2 linked regions of the Caenorhabditis elegans genome follow. The protein of the gene in region 1 interacts with the protein of each later gene in a pairwise test. Each region holds a gene or a part of one and is shown on either strand. Other genes may lie near its edges. The genes, in order: lim-9 and scpl-1.

What was found.
Region 2: the proteins of lim-9 (region 1) and scpl-1 interact in a two-hybrid assay, tested with the Caenorhabditis elegans proteins (one study listed by BioGRID).

The regions. Positions count from the first base shown.
Region 1 is NC_003279.8:9,217,624-9,222,605, forward strand, and holds the start of lim-9 (Protein espinas), read right to left. Parts: upstream 3,106-4,982; coding exon 3,035-3,105; intron 1,426-3,034; coding exon 1,302-1,425; intron 1,089-1,301; coding exon 873-1,088; intron 1-872. Other genes in the region: aspm-1 (Calponin-homology (CH) domain-containing protein), read right to left, coding at 4,384-4,820, 4,965-4,982.
Region 2 is NC_003279.8:10,091,448-10,096,352, reverse strand, and holds the start of scpl-1 (CTD small phosphatase-like protein 1), read left to right. Parts: upstream 1-1,872; 5' UTR 1,873-1,929; coding exon 1,930-2,488; intron 2,489-2,575; coding exon 2,576-2,674; intron 2,675-3,574; exon of another isoform or gene 3,575-3,691; intron 3,692-4,820; coding exon 4,821-4,905. UniProt on the Caenorhabditis elegans protein: Phosphatase which may play a role in the egg laying muscles.

The sequences.
Region 1 (4,982 bases):
TTGAAAATTTCTGTTGAACAATTCCAACAATTTTTTTCCAAAACTTTCCTAACATGTTTCGACTACAAAATTAATTAGTTCTGAAAATTTCAGTGAAAACCAATATTGTTTAAAAAAAAACGTTATCTATATAACTCTTAAAATGGCACCAAAAAAGCCGGATATTTTTAACAAAAAAAGTACTTTTCAGATGTTTTACTGTCTTAACCGTATTTCTGTCGCGTGCAATGAGTCACATTTCTGAGAAAATAAATTCGAATTCCAAAATTGATGAAATACGAGCACAGTATTTAATTTTTTCTTAATATTTTCGGACGTTTTTACTATTGAAGTCAATAATGAATAAGGTGGGAATTTTTTTTTTCACGCTTTTTTAAAGTTGAATTTTCCAAAACATAGTTTGGGAATTAGCATGTTAACATTCGTTATGTTTTCGTATACATTCAAGATAACTAAACTTTACTTTTAGCTAAATTAAAATCGAAGAAATAAAATTTGTTCAACCACCAAACTAAAGATCAATCGTATCATCAATTAAACGAAAAGTCAAAAAAAAAAAGGGTTCCAATTGGCACACTTTTTTGAGATATCATGTGATATGACACTGATAACTACTAATTGACAGTATGATTCAGAGAAAGGAACAAGAAAAAGAAAATGATGTTGCAATAAGGAAATGAACGTTTGCAAGAAAAAGATGTACTTTTAAAGTGGGAAGTACAATACTTTGAATTAGTTGAATAGAAATTTTGGGAGAAGCTTGAATTCAGTATGAAGCTTATTAGACCAGCCAAAACGTAAAGATTTCTTTTTTAATAAAAAAGAAAATGCAATTACTGATAACATAGAGAATAACTGAAATAAATACGTACCTTTGATTGAGGTGTGTCATCGTAAACTTCCACGATGATCGGAGATGCTTGTTTCTCATTCTTCTGATCTTTTCGTTTTCCATCACTTTTTTGAATAATTGAATTAGAAGATGTTGGCCGGGGCGATGAAGATGTTGGAGGTGGTGGAAGAAGTTCCAATCTTTTTTTTGTTTCTCCGATATCTATTGCTCTTTTTGTGTAATGATCTTCTTTTTCCTGTTTAAAAAATTTAAAAGTTAGAAAGAATTCGAAGCAAATTTTACTTTTTTTAATTTTTTTTTAAACAAGCTGAAATTGTTGTCTACAATATGATGTCTAGTCGGATAGCATGTGTCGTGCAAGATTTTGAGGGAAATGGCCGACACAATACGTCTTTTAATGGAACAACCATTGTTTCAGGTATTGTGATTTTGAATGAAAATATCCAACCTGCGCATTATTATTTTCCGGCATATCATAGATATCAACCACTTCGGTGTTTTTTGAATAACACGAGCACAATAATTTGTGAAGAGCTCCATGAGCAGATGGCATTACTCCGTCTTGAGCGATTCTGAAAATTAAATAATTTAAAACATTTTCCAATAAAGTGAATGGCTAAACATTAAAACATGTTTCTGCTGTTTGCAATTAACTTTCAATTTTCGACTAAAACTTATCGTAAGCTCTCTCAAAATAGGTATGAAATTGAAAAAGGAAATAGGCAATATTACTTTCAAAGTGTCAAAATATTTTCTAGTTTTTAATTCAAAGCCAAAAATGTTCTATCAGAATTATAATTTAATTTGCAAGTGGTAATTTGTTTTTAATTGGAGAAATTATTTTTGCAATGCAATAAAAAAATCGACTAGTTTTGAAATTGAAAATCAATAAATAAAATGAAAATCACGAGGGTTCAAAAACAAGAACAGAAATTTGAGAAATTCGTTCAAAAAACATTTAATTTCTCAAATTGTGTGTCACTATTAAAGGAAAGCCAGGGTGTGGTCACTTCATGATCATATCGAAAATTGCCAATTTTATGTTTATTTTCACTTTTTGAAGGAAGAGACGATTGGATTATGAAGATAGTGGATAATGACAACAAGATAATGAGAAAATATATTATGAAATGAGAAATATCATTTGGATTTGAGAGACTCAGAGATTCACACACACTTCCCGAATATGGCATATATATCAATTGATCTTCAATTGATTAGGTACTCTATTTGTGTTGCATAGTTATATATCGAGAAATATAAATTGTGTACCCCAAAAAGTACTCCGGGATATGTGCTACAAATACACTCCAACATGACTTTAAAAAATAATTAAACGCTTCAAAAAACTTTAGGTCGTTCAAAAATTTCTGTCAAAGTATTGGTGAATCGCTAAATTTTGACGGAAATTTATTGGTAAAAAAATTTCCACTTTTCGACTGCAAATAAAAATATCTTTCAAAGCTTTTTACATTTTAGCAACGAATTAATTGGTTTCAAACAATTTTCTTATAGGCGACGTTCCACATTAAATTGTATAAATGATATTGGCCAGTCGATTTGAAAGAACAAATAAGTCTCGAACATCTTCTTCCGGAAGATTGCAGAAAAGTGTGCCTTAAAACTGGCAGTTATGTCACTTGTAGTCATTTTGAAAAATTGATCACAGAAGGATTACAGCGGGGTTTAGAAGGAAGAAATGTAGAGTTTGAAAGGGTTCTTACTGGTTTCTAAACACTTTTTTTGAAGAGAATTTTGAACTCTTCTACTTTAAGTTTATTACCATGACTCTCCTGAAGTTTTAATATTACAAATAAATTATGCATAACTCCAGAATAAGTTTGGTGAACTTTCCATGATTGGACAAAAGGTCATACCCGAGAGAGAGAAACATCCAGATACAGTAACCCACACTTGACAATACCTAATTTTTGTCGTGTCTTTTAGAAGAAAAATGGCAAGATCTGGTTTTTTTGGTATCTAAATGGTTTACCGTTTTTTACACATTTTTATTGAATAAATAACTTCTCGAACACATTTTACAAAAGCTACTAATATGCCTTTATAAGTTTATGAATTCAAAAAAATTGGGTGGAAAGTATTATCTACTATTTTAAGATGTTTTTTTTCAGAGATCTATCCATAACTATCAATTTTCCATTTTGTGAAAAAAAAACTTACGAATCTAATTGATAGGCAAGAAGATATTTGAATGCATTTGACAATTCTCTTGGACCAACATTGTCAGACATATTACAGAGAGGGGGCCAAGTTGAAAAGAGTTCTACTTCTGTTAAGTACTTATTATATTAGTTCAAGTGTCTATTTGTATAGAATAAAATAAAAGAAAAAGAAAAATTTTGAAGATTTTCTACTTCTATTCCAAATGATCTTCTGACCATTTTCTTGAATACGAAAATCGGGAAAATGCGAGCACAATATCGGCCAAATTATATGCGTCTTTGACTTATTCTCGTGATTTTTCAACCAAACAATACCTCAAAAACTAATAATTAAAAAACTGTGTAAAGACAAAACATTGATAATATTGTCTAAATTGCTGCCAAATTGTTATTACGTAGACGTGCAATGGTCTCGCCATTCGAACAACGGGTTACTGTAACTCGTATTAATGTACGGGCCGCTATTGCACAATTATTTTTTCTAAATAAATCTTGTCAGTAATTTCTATTTTTGAAAATGATGATACAACTTTTAGTGACCCGTAAACCGACATGAGTTACAGAAACTCGTTTCCCACGTGGCGAGACCCATACGCGCCTTTAGAATTCAAAAACATGTGTTGCAAGAGAACATATACAAATCTATTCCTGTAGATGTCAGCCGCTTCAACTTTTTTTCCAGAGGAAAGCAAAATCTAGACAAAGTTATAATGAAAATCCTGTCTGGTAAGTTTTTTAAAATTACTACTTAAGTAGCTACTTTTGATTTTTTTTTGTTGTTGAAAAATCACCAACTTTTGGCCGGCACTGCATATAGCTGGAATTAATAAAAACTAATGAACAATATTTTAAAAATTCGGAAAAACGAGTACTACTTCTCTCAAACTTTCGAAAAAAACCATAAAAATTTTGAGTAGGCGGAGCAGGAGCCGAATGACGTGACAAAGTACAAAAAAGAGCAGAAAAAGATGGTCGGAGGGTTACTGTGTAATGCGAACGGAGAGTAAGACGAGTAACTATTTGCAAATCGGATGAGCCATCTGCTACGCAACAAGTGCAAAACTCAAAAATTTTAAAGAGGGAACAGAGAAAAATAGCAGACTTCTTGAATTTCTAAAAGTAGCTAAATTCATCATACTCTAAAAAAAACGGTAGTATTTAAAATCAAGTTTTTACTTCACAACAGACTTTAAGAAACAAATATGAAATACCAAAAAATCCAAATAAGCATCAGGTTGACTGATCTTATTGGTAAATATTCACATAAAAATAATTAAACCGTGTGTATTTTTTCACGATATGATACACAAAACGGTGGGATGAATTTAATATTTAACAGAGACTAATTTAGAGCATATCTTCGCATATGCTTTCCAATCTGACCAATTTATTCCGACACTCCTGATCCTTGACTTTTTTGAGCGACTGCTTGATTGAGTAGCTTGATGAAGAAAAACTCGATTGCTTTTTGTCTGGGAATCTTCTAGCAATTGAAGTCAAGGTGTTAATGATAGGAATAAACAATTCCTTGACTTCCGAGTGCTTCAGCATCAGTAGCATCAAGCGAGGCGACAAAATCTTCAAGTGAGGGAGAATATGCGAATTGGTGACTTCTTCGGGAATCTTCGTGAATAATTTTTCGAGAACATTCAATAATGGATGAAGAATGCTCGTATAAGAGAATCCTCGATCCGCCACAATCAAAACATCAGTGATCGACTTGATGCCATTCAGTTCGACGACAAGCTTTTCCAAAAGTGATGGAACAAGATCGGTGACTCGGTCTGCAAAATATGAACATTTCTATGTGTTGTATGGTTTTGCAATTGACGAAGAAAATCATCCATGGCGGCATATTCATAAACTTTTGGTTTCTATGACTTTCAGATCAAAAAGCAGCTTCTTCGTAATTTTCATTTGCGACATACCGATGACAGTTGCAGCAA
Region 2 (4,905 bases), 870 kb from region 1:
TGAGCCAGGCTAAATAAATCTGATCCATGATATTTATTTTTGTCGCTTCCCTCCAATTTCCGTAGTCAAACATCATCAGCCGATAAATTGTTTTCTGTGCCTTCCCGCCGAACATACAGCAATTAGGGAAATTACATTGTCGAGCATGAAAGTTCTTTCATTTTTTCGCCCAATTTCTTATACATTCACTAGAGTTTCTTTCTTTTTTTGGAATAAAAAGTGTTTGTTGTTTTGCGGCGGCCACCAGACACGTTCAAAACAACAAATCTTGTGAGTTTTATTGCTTTTTGAATTTCTTTTAAGACGTTTCTGAGCAGATTTTGGATGTTTTTCGAAGGGAAATAGAATATGGAAAAATATTTAAATATCTAATTTTAAAGTACACACGAGGCACAATATTCTGAATTCTATTACCGTTAATCCGTTTCAAAAGGTTTCCTTGGTAACCGAGAGAAGCGATGTAATTCTTGTGAAAAACAATGGCATAGCTTTTTAGACCATAAGGTATTTTTGAATATTTTTCTGGAGACCCTTGACCTCTCTAAATATTTATTTTCCCATTTCCTGCTCCATCATGAATCGAGTCCATCAAAGGAAAAGCCATTTGAAGCGTGAAGAAAGTCGCCGTGAGAGCGACCTTGTTGAGTGACGCCTGCTCCTTTCTTTTGCTCCACGACATTTCCTTTCATCGTGGTCCTTATTTCTTTCTAAAAGCGTGTATATAAACTCTTATTATGATGATTGACGTCCACCTCATGCACCCGAATCTATTTTTATGTTCAGTAGCAGCTCTTTTGAGCTCTCTGGGCGTTGCTTTTCAAAAGCTCAACGTGATTGGCACATTGCCAACATGTGAGACCTGCCGCCGACTTCCGCGCCCTTCATGATCCGCCACTAATCGGTGAGCAAGTACTCGTTGAAGTGAGCAGCAAGTTTATATTACTTATGGTATATACACACACGTCGCGCCTTTACCCTCACGCGGCATACGGCATACGGCAATGCTTATTTGTTCTTTGTCAAGCACTTCTTTTGCACATTTTGGCAGCAGCGCGCACGGAAGGCGCCGCGTTCTTTGCAATAACCAGACTGTGCTCTGGGAGCAGCAGATGATTTAGGGGAAAGATACGAGAAAAGAGAAACAGAAAGAGAGTAGTTTGCGTGCTCATTTCAACAAGCACTTCACCTCTGCCCTCGGGATACCTCAGATAATTTGTGTTTCTGAAGAAGCTAGTTCTTCTTTTTCTTCTTCTTTGTTCTCTGCTCTTTTCACCTCTGAAACCCCTTGAATGTCAATGTTTCTAAAACCATTGAAATTAGATATGTTTGGGTTTTGCCCCGTTTATGCGTTGAAACGAACAAACATTCTATGTATCTTATGTGAGACAAGAAAACAGATTTAGTTCTCTCCAGAGACTCTCCCATCAAAACACACACCTGTCTGTTTTTTTTATTAGCCAACCACTTCCCCATAAATTCTTGCCATGGACTTTTCAACAATAACAAAATTGTTTCCTCATATTTTTATTATTTTTTCTTTCTCTCAATATGTCTAGAGTTTGGGCGGCAATTCTATTATTCGGAAATGAATAAAATTTTGAAAATTTGAAATTTGACAATAGTTATCGGAAAAAAGTTCCGATTACCAGAGATCAAAATCCTCATATTTTTAATAAGTTTTGATCATTAATTTTTTTGAATCATTTTTCTAAAAAATTCGAATTGTCGATTATCGAATTGATTTAAAAAAAACGATTTCCGCCCACTTCGTAATGTTTCAAATATTCTACTTCTTCAATTTTCTTATTAATCTCTATTTCTCTTCGAACATCAAACTTATCATATTCCAAAACCCCATTTCCTTATTTCAAGAAATATCTCGTCGATCCTCCATCATCCACCTTCTTCCCCAGTCATCATAATCATCGGATGACCTACGCTGAATCGACTCGATCCGCCGTCGTCTACTCGTCGATTGTGCCTCCACCACGTACTCCAGTTGGTCCGCCGATGTTGAAAGATGGCGTGCGGAAAGGATCCGCATCGCAACCACTTCAACCAAAAAACGGTGCCAACAGTTTGGACTATTGGAGTAAATCGGAAGATGAAAAGTCTGGAATAACGTGTTACTACAGTCGTCATAATATTCAATTTCCACCACCACAGAGGAAAATGAAACCTGTAAAACCAAATCCTGTGGGAAGGTCAACAATAAATGGATTCACACCATCGACATCATCACCACAAAATGGTCTTAGATATCCACCATTTCCACAGAATACACCAGAATCTGTGATGAGTCCTCCAGTTGGAATCTACCGTAATATTCCCGCAATGCCACGTGCAAAACTTACAAAAGATGAGAAAAATGGAGGGAAAATGAATCGAGATGGTGGAGGAGAAAACCCAAAAAATGTAGTTTGGGGTGGAACATCAAGAAAAGATGATGATACGGCTAGTACACCGTTAAATTCATTTTCAGCCAATGGTGAGATAACCGGGAATGTGAAAAGTTAATTTAAAAATAAACTGAATTGTTTTTTTTTTTGTAATTAATATTTTGTATCAGTTTCAGCATCAATCGAGAAAAAGCGATCAACAGCGAGAAGGAAACCAAGATGGGCACGCTGTTTTCAGACACTTTTCTGTTGTGTGACTCCACCCAGAGAGATTGGTATGTGATTTTTCATTTTAAAATTATCAAAATTCTTTTAAAAATTTGGGGTTATTTAAGTTATGTAGAATGCTCCAAGAGTTCACTAAAAAAAATTTAATTAAAAAAATGAATTTTCAATTTCTGAAGAGAAAATGGATGTAGTCTGAAATGATCCAATTTGACTACAAAAATTTATCTTTTTTCGGGAGTTTTCCTTCAATTTTGCAAATTTTTTTTCAAATTTCTGAATTATTTGTTAAATTGCCACCAAAAACGGTTACTGTAACTCAATAAATTTTTTTAAATAACATTATTTGTAAAAAAAATTTCCTGGAATTTCTGTATGCTTTTCACACTTTCCTATAACAAAATAGACTGAAAAAATTTTAAAAAATTGTTTTGTTTATTTTAAGCGACAAATTTTTGAAATTCCAGAAAAATTTAATATAAAGACATGTTAAAAATTTTTTTTTGAAAATTTCCACAAGAAAAAGCTAAAGAAAAAAAGGAAATTTGGTCTTGTTACAGTAACCAGTTTGTGCGAAAATTTGAAAGTTTTGCAAAAAAAAAGACAAAATTTTAAACACTTTATAGGCATATTCGATAATTTTAGACTATCTTCTATTATTTAACAATTGAAAAATGTTCTTAATCATAGAAAAGTTCAAAATTTCGAGTAATTAATAACGCCGCTTTTATGTTTTCTAGAAAACGAAATGAGTGTTTTCATCTTCATTTTTTCTTTATTTCTCTTTCTCTTCAGTGGTAGTGTTCCAGTTATTACACCAAATCTTCCATCTCTTTCATTTTTATCCATCAAAAACTTCAATCATCAGTCGGAAACCACCCCACGCTTCTGATTTCCCATTCTTGTGTGCATTTCAATATTTCAAAAAAAAAACTCATAATTTCTCCTTTACCCCGAAATTCGCCAATATTTTCCGATTTACGAACGCGGCTATCAAACTTGTCGATAGACAGCAAAGTGAGTTGAACTTTTGCGAAAAAGGAAAAAAAGGCGAGGGCAGCTGGTTTTGATTTATTTGCAAATAATCTCCCCTCAGGCAATGTGTCATGCATAAATACGCAGCTCACGGTCGGAGGGAGTACCGCAACTTTTTGAACTTTCAATGTTTGCATATGAGAAATGAAGGAAAAAAATCTCGTTTAACATTTTAAAAGTAGCATTAAAAATTAGTATTAGGGATTTTGAAATACCAAAAACGGCTTTAAATTATCCAAGATATTCAGAAATTCAGAAATACCAAAAGAACAAATTTAGAACTTTCAAAAATAACGCATATAACGATAGAAAAATGTATTGATTTGTTAATGATTATTTAAAATTGTTTGTTTGGAAAGTTTCTCAGCGATTTTCTTTCTTCCGATTACTAGGTTTTCTTTACAGAAGAATTCCTGAAAAATGTCACTCGTTTGCGCGGGAATTTAAATTGAATTCTGCCGTATTTTTCATTTTTGCAAAATAGGAACAATCATTTCAAAAACAATACTTTGGAACTCTTCCCAGACAGAATCTGTCCTTGTCAAATCATCGATGTCAAAATTGACAACTTTGAAACAAAGAATATTATTTTCCCAGACATTTTCTTCCTCGCTGCTCATCAGAAAATATCATCATTTTCTTTCTTATCTCGAATTTCAACGAAAAAAGATGATCAGAACCCCCGCACAGTTGGATTTTCGGATCCTTTCGAAACATCTGGTGCCACTCGATTCCTGGCACAACGCCTTTCACAAAGAACTATGATTTATGAACATGAACTTTTTTTTAAAGTTTTGTGGGTGTAGAGATAAATAAAATTTAATGATTTTCCGATGAGCATGCATGAGGCAACTGCTCAGTGATCAGATATCACAAAAAATCATCTTAAGGGTGGAATACCGAAATCTGGGAATTATTTTTAATTGACTCCAAATTGCCCCTGAATAACGAATGTGTGAAAAAATTCAAAAAAATTATCTGATGTTATATTTGATTTATATTTTTTTCACATAAATATTCGGAATCAGGGGCAAATTTTGAGTCAATTAAAAATATTTCTTAGATTTCAGTACTCCACCTTTAACAACAATTACCGTAACCAAATTTCGGCAATTGAATGAAATTCTAACAAAATTGGAGAAAATATTCATAAATTTTCAGAAAAGATACAATCAAGCCAACGAACGAACAGTACAAACAACAATCATCAGAATGGAAGACCATCTACACCAACAAATACAGGACC